2 linked regions of the Stegostoma tigrinum genome follow. The protein of the gene in region 2 purifies or fractionates together with the protein of the main gene of each other region. This does not show direct contact. Links are inferred from orthologs where the notes say so. Each region holds a gene or a part of one and is shown on either strand. Other genes may lie near its edges.

The links.
Region 1: the proteins of baz1b (region 2) and unconventional myosin-Ic-like purify together in Homo sapiens (affinity purification with western blotting; 3 studies listed by BioGRID, with this or other methods). This does not show direct contact. The link is inferred for Stegostoma tigrinum from reciprocal best matches to the Homo sapiens genes BAZ1B and MYO1C.

What each region holds. Positions count from the first base shown.
Region 1 is NC_081380.1:47,583,243-47,591,108, reverse strand, and holds the start of unconventional myosin-Ic-like, read right to left. Parts: upstream 3,007-7,866; 5' UTR 2,792-3,006; coding exon 2,765-2,791; intron 1-2,764.
Region 2 is NC_081380.1:13,702,907-13,710,312, forward strand, and holds the start of baz1b (tyrosine-protein kinase BAZ1B), read right to left. Parts: upstream 3,013-7,406; 5' UTR 2,767-3,012; coding exon 2,651-2,766; intron 1-2,650. UniProt on the Homo sapiens protein: Atypical tyrosine-protein kinase that plays a central role in chromatin remodeling and acts as a transcription regulator. Involved in DNA damage response by phosphorylating 'Tyr-142' of histone H2AX (H2AXY142ph).

The DNA of each region.
Region 1 (7,866 bases), about 34 Mb from region 2:
AATCTGCTGGACCTGTGACAATTCAGGAATATTCTGGTTTACAGAATCAGCACTGTAAAAGGGCTACTTTAACATCTGTGTTTCAGGAAAAACAACAGTGAAGGAATCCGGTCACAGTGAGAGAGTTTGCAAAGCCAGTGACTGACCAGGATTACATCAGCCAGGCACAATACTTGTAACACCAAGGAAGAAGCCTCTGCCCCCAATAACCCTTGGGGACTACCTAGGCCCGTCCCTCCCTCCTCTGGATCTATGCATCCTGACCACTCCCTACAGCACCATACTCTCTCTCTGGGACACCACGGCCTACCCCACCAACCCGGCTGTTTCCCTGGGATACAAAGATACATATGGTTCCACAAATATTAAGACACCCACACGTGTACAGAAAGGCACAAACACTAACAGAAAAAGAGGCAAATACAGACAGACAATAAAACAAAGAGAGAGACACAGACAGACACACACACTAAAGGATACAGAAAGAAAGGGGAGGGGGGCAAGAGAGAGAGACACGCGGATGCACAAATAGATAGTGAGGGAGACAGACACACAGACAGACAGAGTGGGACACACAGGCACTGCACAGAGAGACACGGACAGCCACTCCCTGCCAATCTTGGCATTACTACCATCCATTGTTCACTTTTTGGCATCTGAATCACACAGAGGGATTCCTCTTGACTTATCCAGTACTGCATGCTCGTCAGAGAGGGACAGAGGGAGAGAGGGGGGCTACTGGCAGCGCGTTTAGTATGGAGAGAGAGAGAGAGAGAGAGAGAGAGAGAGAGAGAGAGAGAGAGAGAGAGAGAGAGAGAGAGAGAGAGAGAGAGAGACATACTTTCAGATACTAACATGACAGTTGGACAGGAGCACAGTCTCAGAAAAAGAACAGAGGAATAGGATTGTAGCACGTAATCCATGAAGGACTGGTATTGGCACAGGCTTGATAGAACAAATAGCTTCTTTCTCTCCTGAAACATCTTTGATTTTATTGCAATAAACTATCAAAAATCTGTTAGATGCCTATGCTTTCCAAAATGTGTATCAGAACCCCAAATGACTCAGAGGTAATAATCAGCAAAGATAAACTTCAGAAGTTCCTTTTTTTAAAAAAAAATCATTTTTTCCCAATATTTGCATAGAGATAATATGAACATTGTGAGCAATGAGAATGGTTAAAAGGGTCAGGAAACACTTAGTCCCAGTTCCAGGCTGGTTATGAAGCAGGCCACGCAAACGTTAAGGGCATCTATTAGTTATGGTGGTGATGAGATTGAACTGGGAATATTAGCGCTGGGTCAAGACTCACATCACCAGCAATTAAAATCACTGCACTTCAACCCATGAGATACCTTATTTGGACTGATCTTACAGTAAGACAGGAGCAACCGATATGATCATTTATCCAAATGTCTCAGCCTCCTGCACCGAACTTCCCCAATAATAGGAAAAACCTCATCATGTGATACAATCATCTTGAGCTTCCTCTCTCCAAGCCAACTCCACTGTCAATGTTTCCCCAAAACAGTTAGTGTTCCTCTAAATCTTATTCATAAATAAGTGCCCTCTCCCCCTCCTCACTCCTCTCCTACCTCCTCTTCCACACTCACCACAAGGGGCAATTAAGACACAACCATCATACTGTGGATCTGGAGTCACAAGTAGACCAGACCAGGTGAGTGAAGAACATCAGGATCAGAGTTAGAGAACCGGATGAGTTTTATGTCAACCAGATGATTTCATCATCACTGTCAATGAGACCAGCTTTTCATTCCAGATTGTTTATTTTGTAAATTGAATTTAAATTCCCTCAGCTACCTCGATGGGATTTGAACTCGTCCTGTGTCAATAACTCAGCCTCTGTAACATTAACACGGCATCTATCAGTCGCTCCTTCAGCACCGAATCAAGGCTGAAATAGTTGTGGAAGGCAAACTTTTTGAGAAGTAATTAGCATTAGGCAATAAATGCTGCTCTCACCAATAATGCCCATTTTCTTCAGAATTAGACAATTTTCTTAAAGAAATAAAACTGCAGTATGGGGTGGACTTTTGAAAAGGGACTACTTGGAATCCAACAGCTCCTGATGGAAAGCAGGTTTGAAATGCAACCTGGTTAACTAGCTTAGACAGATTCAGAAGTCAAACCGATGAACTGACATTACTTATCTTGAACAGAAAGGTACATTGTACTCCACGCTCAAAAGGGCAATAGAAGAAATTTGAAGCAATGTCGTGTAGGCAGTGACATTTAACTTCAGAACTTTGATTCCAATCTCCTTGTATGCCTGATCTGGCTGCAGATTCTAGGTTGTTCGGCAACCGGGTGGTTGGAAACACTCCAACACAGACCTGCAAAACTCACCACCTCAGTCAACAGAATAAACACATCTCGGATACGACGACTTTTTAAAAGTAACATTAAACTTTGTCATTTCAAGTAACTGTTCAAAAATTTGGAAATAACAAGAACCCCTGAACCAGGAACAAATTACATCTCATCATACACATTTAACTAAGGGCAAGTTACAAAGTGTTACCATTTTTGTTCGCTGTGTCTGGCCTGGGATGTGACTCCAGTTTAACCTGAACTGGTGGAGAGATATCCCAACAAATTCAGAAACTAAACCAGCTCAGCACAGACCAGTCCCAGTCCCAGTCCCAGTCAGTCCTAATGAGTGCAGCTCCGGTCCAGTCGGTCTCTGTGCTACGAGCTAAGTTTCTGACGGGAGGCGAGGCCCCGCTCCAGTGAGAGTCCTTACCCCAGGCCGGCCGCTGCGGAACTTCATTCTGGCCGCAAGCAGCTGTTGGTGTCCGCTTCAAGCCGGGCCCGGGCCGCTCCTTCTCTCTCTCTCTGCCTCTCACAATCAGCGCTCTGTCTCATTCCTCCCACACCCTCTCGCTCCGACTGGACTTTCCAAAAAATAATACAGCAACACGGCGACCAACCAGAGCCGCGTAAACAGGAATGGGAGAGTCACACGGGGAGGGAAGAGACGGGAGTGGGAGAGTCACACGGGGAGGGAAGAGACGGGAGTGGGAGGAGAGTGGGAGAGTCACACGGGAGGGAAGAGACGGGAGTGGGAGGGAGAGTGGGAGAGTCACACGGGAGGGAAGAGACGGGAGTGGGAGGGAGAGTGGGAGAGTCACACGGGGAGGGAAGAGACGGGAGTGGGAGGGAGAGTGGGAGAGTCACACGGGGAGGGAAGAGACGGGAGTGGGAGGGGAGTGGGAGAGTCACACGGGGAGGGAAGAGACGGGAGTTGGAGGGAGAGTGGGAGACGGGGTGTTGTGTTGTGGGGAGGGAAGGAGACGGGGTGTGCGGGGTGTGTGGGGTGGGGGTGGCGGAATGGGGTGGGGTGGCGGAATGGGGTGGGGTGGCGGAATGGGGGGGGTCGGGGTCGGGAGGGAGGTCGGGGTCGGGAGGGAGGTCGGGGTCGGGAGGGAGGTCGGGGTCGGGGTCGGGGTCGGGGTCGGGGTCGGGAGGGGGGTCGGGAGGGGGGTCGGGAGGGGGGTCGGGGTCGGGAGGGGGGTCGGGGTCGGGAGGGAGGGGGGTCGGGGTCGGGAGGGAGGGGGGTCGGGGTCGGGAGGGGGGTCGGGGTCGGGAGGGAGGGGGGTCGGGGTCGGGAGGGAGGGGGGTCGGGGTCGGGAGGGGGGTCGGGGTCGGGAGGGAGGGGGGTCGGGGTCGGGAGGGAGGGGGGTCGGGGTCGGGAGGGGGGTCGGGGTCGGGAGGGGGTCGGGGTCGGGAGGGAGGGGGGTCGGGAGGGAGGGGGGTCGGGGTCGGGAGGGAGGGGGGTCGGGGTCGGGAGGGAGGGGGGGTCGGGGTCGGGAGGGAGGGGGGGGGTCGGGGTCGGGGGGAGGGGGGGGGGGTCGGGGGGGAGGGGGGGGGGGGGTCGGGGGGGAGGGGGGGGGGGGGGTCGGGGGGGGGGAGGGGGGGGGGGTCGGGGGGGGGTCGGGGGGGATGTCGGGTGGGAGGGGGGGGTCGGGGGGGGGTCGGGGTCGGGGGGAGGTCGGGGGGGGGGGTCGGGGGGGGGGTCGGGGTCGGGGGGGGGGGTCGGGGTCGGGGGGGTCGGTCGGGGTCGGGGGGGGGGGTCGGGTCGGGGGGGTCGGTCGGGGTCGGGGGGGTCGGGGGGGGGTCGGGGGGGGGGTCGGGGTCGGGGGGGGGGTCGGGGGGGGGGTCGGGGGGGGGGTCGGGGTCGGGGGGGGGGTCGGGGGGGAGGGGGGGGTCGGGGTCGGGGGGGAGGGGGGGGGTCGGGGTCGGGGGGGAGGGTCGGGGGGGAGGGTCGGGGGGGAGGGGGGGGGTCGGGGGGGAGGGGGGGGGTCGGGGTCGGGGGGGAGGGTCGGGGGGGAGGGTCGGGGTCGGGGGGGAGGTCGGGGGGGAGGGGGGGGGTCGGGGGGAGGGTCGGGTCGGGGGGGAGGTCGGGGGGGAGGGGGGGGGTCGGGGGGGAGGGGGGGGGGGGGTCGGGGGGGAGGGGGGGGGTCGGGGGGGAGGGGGGGGGGTCGGGGTCGGGGGTCGGGGGGGGGTCGGGGTCGGGGGGGATGTCGGGGGGGAGGGTCGGGGGGGAGGGGGGGGGTCGGGGTCGGGGGGGGAGGGTCGGGGTCGGGGGGGGAGGTCGGGGGGGAGGGGGGGGTCGGGGGGGAGGGGGGGGGGGTCGGGGGGGAGGGGGGGGGGTCGGGGGGGAGGGGGGGGGGGTCGGGGTCGGGGGGGGTCGGGGTCGGGGGGGATGTCGGGTGGGAGGGGGGGGGTCGGGGGGGGGTCGGGGTCGGGGGGGATGTCGGGTGGGAGGGGGGGGGTCGGGGGGGGGTCGGGGTCGGGGGGGAGGTCGGGGGGGGGGGGGTCGGGGGGGGGTCGGGGGGGGGGGGTCGGGGGGGAGGGGGGGGGTCGGGGGGGAGGGGGGGGGTCGGGGGGGAGGGGGGGGGGTCGGGGGGGGGGTCGGGGGGGAGGGGGGGGTCGGGGGGGGGGTCGGGGTCGGGGGGGGTGGGGGTCGGGGTCGGGGGGGATGTCGGGTGGGAGGGGGGGGGGGTCGGGGGGGGGTGGGGGTCGGGGTCGGGGGGGATGTCGGGTGGAGGGGGGGGTCGGGGGGGGGTCGGGGGGTCGGGGGGGGTCGGGGTCGGGGGGGATGTCGGGGTGGGAGGGGGGGGGTCGGGGGGGGGTCGGGGTCGGGGGGAGGTCGGGGGGGGGGGGGGTCGGGGGGGAGGTCGGGGGTCGGGGGGGAGGGGGGGGGTCGGGGGGGAGGGGGGGGGGGTCGGGGGGTCGGGGGGGGGGTCGGGGGGTCGGGGGGGAGGGGGGGGGTGGGGGGGGGAGGGGGGAGGGGGGGGGGTGGGGGGGGAGGGGGGGGGTGGGGGGGGGGTCGGGGGTCGGGGTCGGGGGGGGGTCGGGGTCGGGGTCGGGGTCGGGGTCGGGGGGGGGTCGGGTCGGGTCGGGTCGGGGGGGGGTCGGGGTCGGGGTCGGGGGGGGTCGGGGTCGGGGGGGTCGGGGTCGGGGGTCGGGGGGGGTCGGGGGTCGGGGGGTCGGGGGTCGGGGGGGGGGTCGGGGTCGGGGGTCGGGAGGGGGGGGGTCGGGGTCGGGAGGGAGGTCGGGGTCGGGGTCGGGAGGGAGGTCGGGGTCGGGGTCGGGAGGGAGGTCGGGGTCGGGGTCGGGAGGGAGGTCGGGGTCGGGGGTCGGGAGGGAGGTCGGGGTCGGGGTCGGGAGGGAGGTCGGGGTCGGGGTCGGGGTCGGGAGGGAGGTCGGGGTCGGGAGGGAGGTCGGGGTCGGGGTCGGGAGGGAGGGGGGGGTCGGGGTCGGGAGGGAGGGGGGGGTCGGGGTCGGGAGGGGGGGTCGGGGTCGGGAGGGGGGGGTCGGGGGTCGGGGGGGGGGGGGTCGGGGTCGGGGTCGGGAGGGAGGGGGGGGTCGGGTCGGGAGGGAGGGGGGGGTCGGGGTCGGGAGGGAGGGGGGGGTCGGGGTCGGGAGGGAGGGGGGGGGGTCGGGGTCGGGAGGGAGGGTCGGTGTCGGGGTCGGGAGGGAGGGGGTGTCGGGGTCGGGAGGGAGGGAGGGGTCGGGGTCGGGAGGGAGGGAGGAGGGAGGGGTCGGGAGGGAGGGAGGGAGGGAGGGTCGGGAGAGGGAGGGAGGGGTCGGGGTCGGGAGGGAGGGTCGGGGTCGGGAGAGGGAGGGGAGGGGTCGGGGGGGTCGGGAGGGAGGGTCGGGGTCGGGGTCGGGAGGGAGGGAGGGAGGGGTCGGGAGGGAGGGAGGGAGGGGTCGGGAGGGAGGGGAGGAGGGGTCGGGAGGGAGGAGGGGTCGGGAGGGAGGGAGGGAGGGGTCGGGGTCGGGAGGGAGGGAGGGGTCGGGGTCGGGAGGGAGGGGTCGGGAGGGAGGGAGGGAGGGGTCGGGGTCGGGAGGGAGGGAGGGGTCGGGAGGGAGGGGGGGGTCGGGCGGTCGGGAGGGAGGGAGGGAGGGGTCGGGAGGGAGGGAGGGGTCAGGAGGGAGGGAGGGAGGGGTCGGAGGGAGGGGTCGGGGGAGGGAGTCGGGGGGGGAGGGAGGGAGGGGGAGAGGGAGAGGAGAGGGAGGCGGGGTGGGGGGGAGGGAGGGGGAGGGAGACGGGGTGGGGGGGAGGGAGGGGAGGGAGACGGGGTCGGGGTGTGTGTGTTGCGGGGGGAGACGGGATGAGGGTGTGGGGAGGGAGGGGAGACGGGGTCCTGGGTGTGTGGGGAGGGAGGGACGGGGTGTGGGTGGGAATGGTTGGGGAGGGGGGGGAGGGAGGCGGCGGGTGGGGGGGAGGGGGTGGGTGGGGGCGGGGATGGGAGGGGGGGAGGGAGGGAGACTGGGGAAGGGAGGGAGACGGGGGGAATGTGGGTGGGGGGGTGTGTGGGTGGGTGGGAGGAGGGAGACGGGGGCGGTGTGGGGAGGGAGACGGGGGGAATGTGGGCGGGTGGGAGGGAGACGGGGGGAATGTGGGCGGGTGGGAGGGAGGGAGGTGGTGGGGTGTGTGTGGGAGGGAGGGAGACCGTGGGGAGTTGTGGGTGTGAGGGAGACCGTGGGGAGTGTGGGTGTGAGGGAGACCGTGGGGAGTGTGGGTGTGAGGGAGACGGGGACGGTGTGTGGGTGGAGGGAGGGAGACCGTGGGGAGTGTGGGTGTGAGGGAGACGGGGACGGTGTGTGGGTGGGAGGGAGAGAGACGGGGGGTGGTGTGGTGTGGGTGTCGGGGGGAGGGAGGAGACTGGGCAGCAGTGTGTGGGGGGATGGAGGGAGACGGGGGGGTGTGGGTGGGAGGGAGACGGGGGTTGTGAGTTGGGGGGATGATTTGGGAGGGAGACGGGGGCTGTGTGGGGGAGCGAGGGAGAGAGACGGGGGGTGGGCGATGGGGGTTGGCGGGGAGTGGGGAAGGGTTACGGGGTTTGGGGTTGGCGGGAAGGGAGACGGAATGGGGGAGTGGGAGATGGTGAGAGTGGGGGCGCGGGGAGGTGGGAGGGAGATGGTGGGGTGGGGGAGGGAGTCGCTGGGGGGGGTGTGTGGGGTGGGGTGGGGGGGAGGGAGACGGATTGGGGGTGTGTGTGGGGAGGGAGATGGAGTGGGGGTGTGTGTGGGGCGGAAGACGGGGTGGGGGTGTGTGTGGGGAGTGGGGGAGGGAGACGGGGTGGGTGTGTGTGTGTGTGTGTGTGAGGGGGGGAGGGAGACGGGGTGGGGGTGTGTGTGGGGAGGGAGACGGGGTGGGGGTGTGTGTGGGGAGTGGGGGAGGGAGACGGGGTGGGGGTGTGTGTGTGAGTGGGGGAGGGAGACGGGGTGGGGGTGTGTGTGGGGGACTGGGGGAGGGAGACGGGGTGGGGGTGTGTGTGGGGACTGGGGGAGGGAGACGGGGGTGGGGGTGTGTGTGTGGGTGCTGGGGAGAGA
Region 2 (7,406 bases):
GAAAGAATAACTCCTTCTGCCATAGTGTCAAATTTGGATGGCAATGAGTCATAATCAATCATCGCGTTCAGCCCTGTTTCAAAAACACAAATTTTCTCACTTTTCCAAGGCCTTCAGCACCACTTACAGTGCTGCAAGTAAAGATCTGCAGACAGGCAATGATGGCTAATCAAAGTTCTTTTTCCAATGTGGTATAAGCTCATCAAAACACCAGTAAAATGGTTTTCCACAAGAGCAGACAATGATTTTGTTCCGGCACTCCAGTCACCTCCAACCTCTCATCTGAAGAATAGATTCAAATACACTGATATCCTAGTGCCATTTCTAAACAAGATTGGCCAGATAACTGTACTATAGCAGTGTTTGAACTTTTTTTAAGGTAACCAGTCTTCTTTTCTTCATTTAAAAAAAGGGCTTGTAATCATGAAATGCTGTACCCAAAGCATCTTGATGACCACGAAGGTATGACAAATCAGAGTTCTAAACTTTAGCCACTTGACAGGAGAACTGCAGTACTGCTCTTACAGATCTCAATGAAAGCAGGATGCTATTGATCAAAGCAGACTGTGTTCTCAAGTTCACAGATTCCAAACCTAGATAAACTTAAAAAAAACTGGAAACTTTACACAAACTGCCATAACTCAAAAGTTAAAGATTTATTTTAAATAAAGCTTTTCTTTTCTCAAAAAATCCTTACCAATACATTCAAACAGCTTAGCTAGTGACACGGAAGTCATTCTATTTTGAAACCTTCCACACAAACCTTGTGCGAATCTGTACAAGCTACTATAAAGGTTAAACTGGTAGCCACAGCTAAGGGAATAAAATAAGTTAATGAAGCTTTTTGCTGGAATTGATGTACATACTGCTTTTAGAGGGATTATATTTTCTTTCACTTACATTTCTTGCATGCAAAACCCTTGTAGAATTTTTGTATTGCATTTTAGAATGAAAAGCATGAGCTGCGCCTTCAGCAAACAAAGTATGTGAACTCAGAGACAGCAAGAATTGCAGATGCTGGAGTCAGAGACAACAGTGTGGAGCTGGAGGAACACAGCAGGCCAGGCAGCATCAGAGGAGCAGGAAAGTTGACGCTTCCAGTCAGGACCCTTCTTCAGAAATGGGGAGGGGGCAGGGAGCTGGGAAATAAATTGAGAAGACAGGTGAGGCTGAGGAAGGTAGGTGGGATGGTGATAGATGAATGCAGGTAAGGAGTGGTGGGGATTGGTCGAAAGGAAGGGTAGGGCGAATAGGTGTGGAAGATAAACAGGTTGTATCAGGTCAAGGCGGCAGGGATGAGAGGGATGCTGGGGGGGGGGGGGGGGGGGGGTTTAAAACTGGTGAATTCTATGTTCAGGCAATCAGGCTATAGGCTCCTCCAGTTTGCATATGGTGTCATTGCGGCACAGGAGGAAGCCCAGGATGGATATGTCACCCAAGGAGTGAAGGGAGCAGTTAAAATGGTTGGCAAATGGAAGATGTTGCCGTTTATCACCTACAGAGTGCAGATGCTCTACGAAACTGTCCCACAGTATCCGCTTGGTCTCACCCATGTCAAGGAGGCCACATCAGGAGCAGCGGTACAGTAGGCCAAGTTGGCACATGTATAGGTGAACCCCTGTCAAATATCAAAGGTTGGCTTTGGGCCTTGAAGGGAGGTGAGGGGGGAGGTGTAAGCACTCCTGTAGATCAGAAATAAAAATAAGTTCAGAACACAAACCCAAAAAAGTCTAATTTTTTTAAAAAACACTCTGACATCTTTCTAACTGTTCCAATGCATTCTTGAATCAAGCTTTCCTCAAAGTACTTTAATACATTAAACAGTTTCATTTCAGATAGCATTCCTAAAGCTTCACAGAAGACAATACTGTCCATATCAGAAACATATAGAACATTTAGCTCTAAACAACAATTAAAGCACACAGACAACAGCATTTTACAAAAGAGAATAGATCACTAACTGAAGACCACAATCCAATATCACAACCCCCTGAGTTCCAGATGACGACTGGCCTGCTGTGTGCCTCTAGCATTTTCAGCTATTTGTGCGTGTCTCCAGTACACGTAATTTTCATTTCTGCATGAAGCTACTCAATTTAATACAGATCCAAAGTGACTAAAAGCAATTTGAGTAACAAATTCACAAAGTTGCTTAAATAACAAGTCATTCACTCGTTAAAAAGGTTGATGCTGTGGAAGCATCAGCATTAAGCAGGGAAAGCGCTGGACCAGTCTTTTGACAGCTGCAGTCAGTCCTGTCGTCAAAGTAGTTAAACATGGAACCGTAGGCCAGCCACACGTTTAACTTGTGAGCTGAGAAGAAGCTCGTTCCCGTGCGGCCCCTTTATTTATTCCCCTCCAGGACTGCACGGTAAAAATGCCCAAGAGTAGGCCCAGCCTGGCAGCAAAGGGCCTCCTGACAATGACTAACTTGTAGAGTTGGTAACGTTGACTGAATTCACTCTGGAGGACACTGCCGCTGAACAGGCCTGCGCTGACAGATAGTGACAGCAGGGCGCTATCTCCCCACAGCATCTCCTTCCCGGCAGCTCCTGCCTCAAACCTAGGCCCCTGTCCCTAGGAGACGCCGGCTATCGCCCAAGGCCGGGTTCCGATCCCCTCAGGTCCCTGGCTCGGATCTAAAGGATACTCGTTGCTCCGAAACCCCTCTCCGCTGTGCTCGATCACATAGATAGTCTCCTCTGCCGACAGATCTGTAAGCGGCTTCACCAACGGGAATGGCTTCCTGCCCAGCAGCGGCGCCATGGTCCAGCCGGCCAGCCGGCTCGGCTCTCAAAGGGAGCTCCTGCCGGTGGTGATGGGGAAGGGGGAGGGTGGGGAAAATAGGTTAAAGGACTGTCCGTTTCTCGGCTGCTCCGATCGCCCAAAAGTGAAAGAGAAGGCGCGATCCTCACGCCCCGGCTCCAGCGGCAGAGTTCAAAAATGGCGGGATGTTCCGCAGCTCGGCTCCTGACCGGCGGCCGATCGACACCTCCCGCCACCGAGCAGACCCGAACGGCCTGCCGGAAACACCCGGACCTTCTCCATCGCCATTGGCTGAACACCGCACGCTGCCGCCCTCCGATTGGCTGTGTCTGCTGTCCATCAGCACCGCACAGTGCGCGCTTGGAGCGCGGGTTCGAGATTTCGAGGGTGAAAGGTTACGGCCGTCGCTTAACCTGGCGATGGAGGGAGTTCTTTTTCGGATCGGCCGAGCAGTCCGTTAAGTTGTGTGTAAGGGAAAAGCGTTGTCGACGCCTGTCAAGTTCGAGCATTTTGTTAAAGGAAAAGACGACTCTTTTTTAAAAATTGAAAACATACGCACAAAGTGAAGGGGTAAAATCTAACCTGCTGGTTCAGCGATTGGAGGAAAGTGACGGAAGGTGGGGCTTGCAGATGATTGATGGATGTCATACAGAAAGTGATTGGGACAGTCAGCCGTCAATCAGAGCCCGGGCGGCCAGCACGTATGGTTGTAGAGGGGTGGGAGGGTGGTTGGTAAATAAAGCGGTGGATGGGCGAGTTGTGCGTGCGGCTGTAAGGCATCTGTCAGTCAATCACTGGAGTAGCCCTAGTATCTTCCTCTATCCCAGGCACCCATCAAACTCCACCCAATATTGCTGTCCTTCACTTTGGGTACAGAACGTTAGATTTTTTTTTAATCCTCGAAACAAGAACAGAAATTGTTCGAGAAACTCGGTAGGTCCGGCAGTGTGTGTACAGAGAAAGTGTTTCTGATTTCAGCGACCACTGCTCGGAACTTCCTGGACTCTTGTCAGGAGAGAGGGGGATGAGGTGTACACTAAAAATAACGATTGGAGGTTCTCACTTCCCCGAAAAATGTTGAGTGATTATTAGTGTGCTTATGTGTACTTTAAAAAGTTCGTTAATACTAGGCTTATCGGAAATAATTGGACATCCTACATCAAAACATGTTGCATTTTTTGTAAGTGGACAGGTCCCAAACTGAAACTTGGCATTATATTTTTGCATAGACGCCCTGAAAACCTTGCTAGCCTAGTTCTGAAGGTCGATCACTGGACCCGAAACATTAACTGCATCCTCTTTACAGGTGGCAACAGACTTGCTGAGTTTTTCCTAGTAATTTGTTTATATTTCAGTTCAGGTGTGTTCATGATTATGTTCTTTTATTAAAAGTACAAAGTATATTTCACCCAAAAAAATACATGAACTGTTTTACACAAAAGAACTACTTGAAACAGATCAGATCAAATAGGCAATGGGCTCAGGAGTGGCAGATGGATGTTGAGGTTGGTTGGCTCACCGAGCTGGTTTGTTGTTATACAGACATTTCGTTATCATGCTTGGTAACATCCTCAGTGCAGCCTCTGATAAAGTGATGATGAGTTAGGAGGTCACGTGCAGCTGTACAGGACATTGGTTAGACCACGATTGGTATACTGCATTCACTTGTGATCTCCCTACTACAGGAAAAATGTTGTGAAACTTGAAAGGATTCAGAAAAGATTTACAAGGACATTGCCAGGTTTGGAGGGATGAGCTATAAGTGGAGGCTGAATAGGCTGTAGCTATTTTCCACAGAGCATTGGAGGTTGAGCAGTGACCTTATCAAGGTTTATAAAATCATGAGGGACATAGAAAGAGTAAATAGCCAAGGTCCTTTCCCCCAGGGTAGGGGAATCCAAAACTAGATTACATACATTTATAAGGGATCTAAGGGACAACATTTTCTTGCAGAGGGTGGCACATGAACTGGTGAATGAACTGCCAGAGTAAGTGATGGAGGCTGGTACGTTTACAACTTTTAAAAGGCATCTAGATGGGTATATGAATAGGAAGGATTTAGAAGAATACAGGCTAAATGCTGGCAAATGGAATTGGATTGCTAAGGTTTTGGAGTAGATCTGTAGCTCGGGTTGTGGGTGTTGAGGTTTTCCCGCCTGGTTTTTAAACCCTGGGGTCTGTTGCGATAGACTGGCTCACTTCTGGGTTTCCTTCGTAGTGGAATGTACATGGGGTGGAGTTCAATGTGTTTATTATTAGCCTACTTCGTGGAGTGCCATGCTTCCCGGAATTCTCGTGCTTGTCTCTGCCTAGCCTGTCTCAGGATCTTGGCATTGTCCCAGTTGAAGTTGTGGTTCTCCTTGTCCATGTGGATTGAGATGAGTGAGTATTGGTCGTGTCTTTTTGTAGCCAGTTTGTGTTCATGTGCTCTTGTTGTTAGTTTCCTTCCTGTTTGTCCGATGTAGTGTTTCTCTCAGTCTCTGCAGGGGGTCTTGTAGGTGACATTGGTCCTGTCCATGGCGGGGAGTGGGTTTTTAGTTCGGGTGAGTACTTGTCGTAGGGTTGATGTGGGTTTGTGTGCCACTCTGATGCCCAGCGGTCATAGAAGTCTTGTGGTGAGTTCTGACATGTTCCTGATGTGGGGTAGTGTGATGAATTTGTCAGGGCCTGTAGAATCTTTCTGATGCTGTTTCTGTAGGCGTTTCTTGACCTATTTTTGGATTGGTTTCGTATATCTGGTTGGCAAGGACAAGTTGAACCGAAAGGTCTGTTTCCATGCTGTACAGCTCTATGATTCTACCAGAGCTAAAGATTTACCCTCAACAAGAACCTGACAGATGCTCAATGTTAGTTGAGGTCACCTTGTTTCCACTTTAAAGTTTCTTCTTCAGTTGGCTGAGCTATAATTGGTTTCTGGAGTTTTCTTGGTGTTAACTTACAAATAGTTTCAAAGCAAACATGTCTTCTATACCTCAGCTTCCAACATCTGGGGATATTTTATCCTTGAGCCACACAGGAATTTTTCTCCAGCCCTGACTTTTTGAAGACTGCCAGACAAGCAGCACCTTTTCGCACATAGGGAATGTCTGCCCATTACCTGCGATAGGGTTAGTTTCTCAATCTTGTGCGCTGCTGGACCTTACTGGCTAGGCATCAGCAGTTGTTTTTAAAAACGCTCTTCTACCACTTTTTCCTAATAGACCAAACTGTTTGCCTGGACGTCTACTGTGTAACAAACTTCAGACACTCCAGGAACAATGGTGTGGGTTTTCTGATGACCAGATAGGTGTTATTCCAGCATTGATGGGAGTTGCACTGTGAGCCCTGTGGATCCCCATCCTGGCAGATATCAGAGGAATGGCCAAGAAATTTGAAGATTCCAAGGGGCAATTACTCTATGCTTGGAACTCTCTGGAAGTCTCCATTTAAACTACAGAATTCAGAGGTCTCCAGTGAAATTTAGTAAATCATAAATCAAAGTGTTAGACTGTTAAATGCATTGTCTTAACCTAACACTCCAAACACACCTTCAGATCAGCTACACTTCCCTGACCATCACCTGACACTCCTGCATATCACCCCATTTCAGACCCAATCCATCTTCAACCATTTTGGATCCAACCTTATCCTCTCTCACCCTTCACCTGCTCCAGACACACTCGTCCCTTTTCCCCAGACACAAGTCTGCTTTGCCCCTTGCCCGTTCTGGACCCAACCTGCTTCTCCCTTCCACCCCAGAGACTTGACCCCCCTTCTCCACCTCTACTGCACTTGCAACCCCTGACCCAATTCGCATCCTTTCCCACCAGACCTAGTATTCCCACACATCCTGACCTATACCAGGCGATCACTCTCCTGGCCCCCTTCCTTGCCATCACCCTAACCTCACACTTAACATATATGCTTACTATTTATCAGTAACTGTTAAAGCGACAATGTTTTTGGACCTTTGTCATGGGTTTATGGTTTGCCTTTTCCTGGACCCTCAGCATTACCAAAGAATTGTCAGAAATGATGAATGGCTCCACATTTTGAAGGAGCCCTGATCAGAATCTCATCATAGAAATTCGGAGCTCTCTCCTTTCATTTTAAAAAAAAGCAGACTAGTAAACTGCACAAAGTTACTGCATCTAAGAAAATTCAACCCCCATATCTCCCCTTAACACATAGAAACACAATATGGTAATGCACATCAAATTTAAGACTATACATGGTTTTGACCACTTTAGAACCCAATATTACAAATGATATCACACACATTGAGTCAGCATGTCATTTTCAAATGTCAATCACTGTGTACCACATTTATTTATATAAAAGCATCAAGTTTTGAACTGCTTCAGAATACTGTTTCATAAGCAAAGTACAGCCACATTTTGTACAGCTAGATCCCACAGATAGCAAAACAATTTTCAACCAATTATTTCTATTTGATGAAGTTACATGACAGGAGGGTTGGCAGACAGAATTCTTTTTTGAATGCTGAAGTACTCTCCTTTGAATATTGAAAGGGGATCCTAACTGCTCATCTGGTGCTGTGGAAAACGGCCTTCATTCAAAGACATTACATGCATTATCAAAACTGTCTTGTTCTGGATGAAAAATAATAAATTTGTACACAGCACTAGCTAATTTCCCCA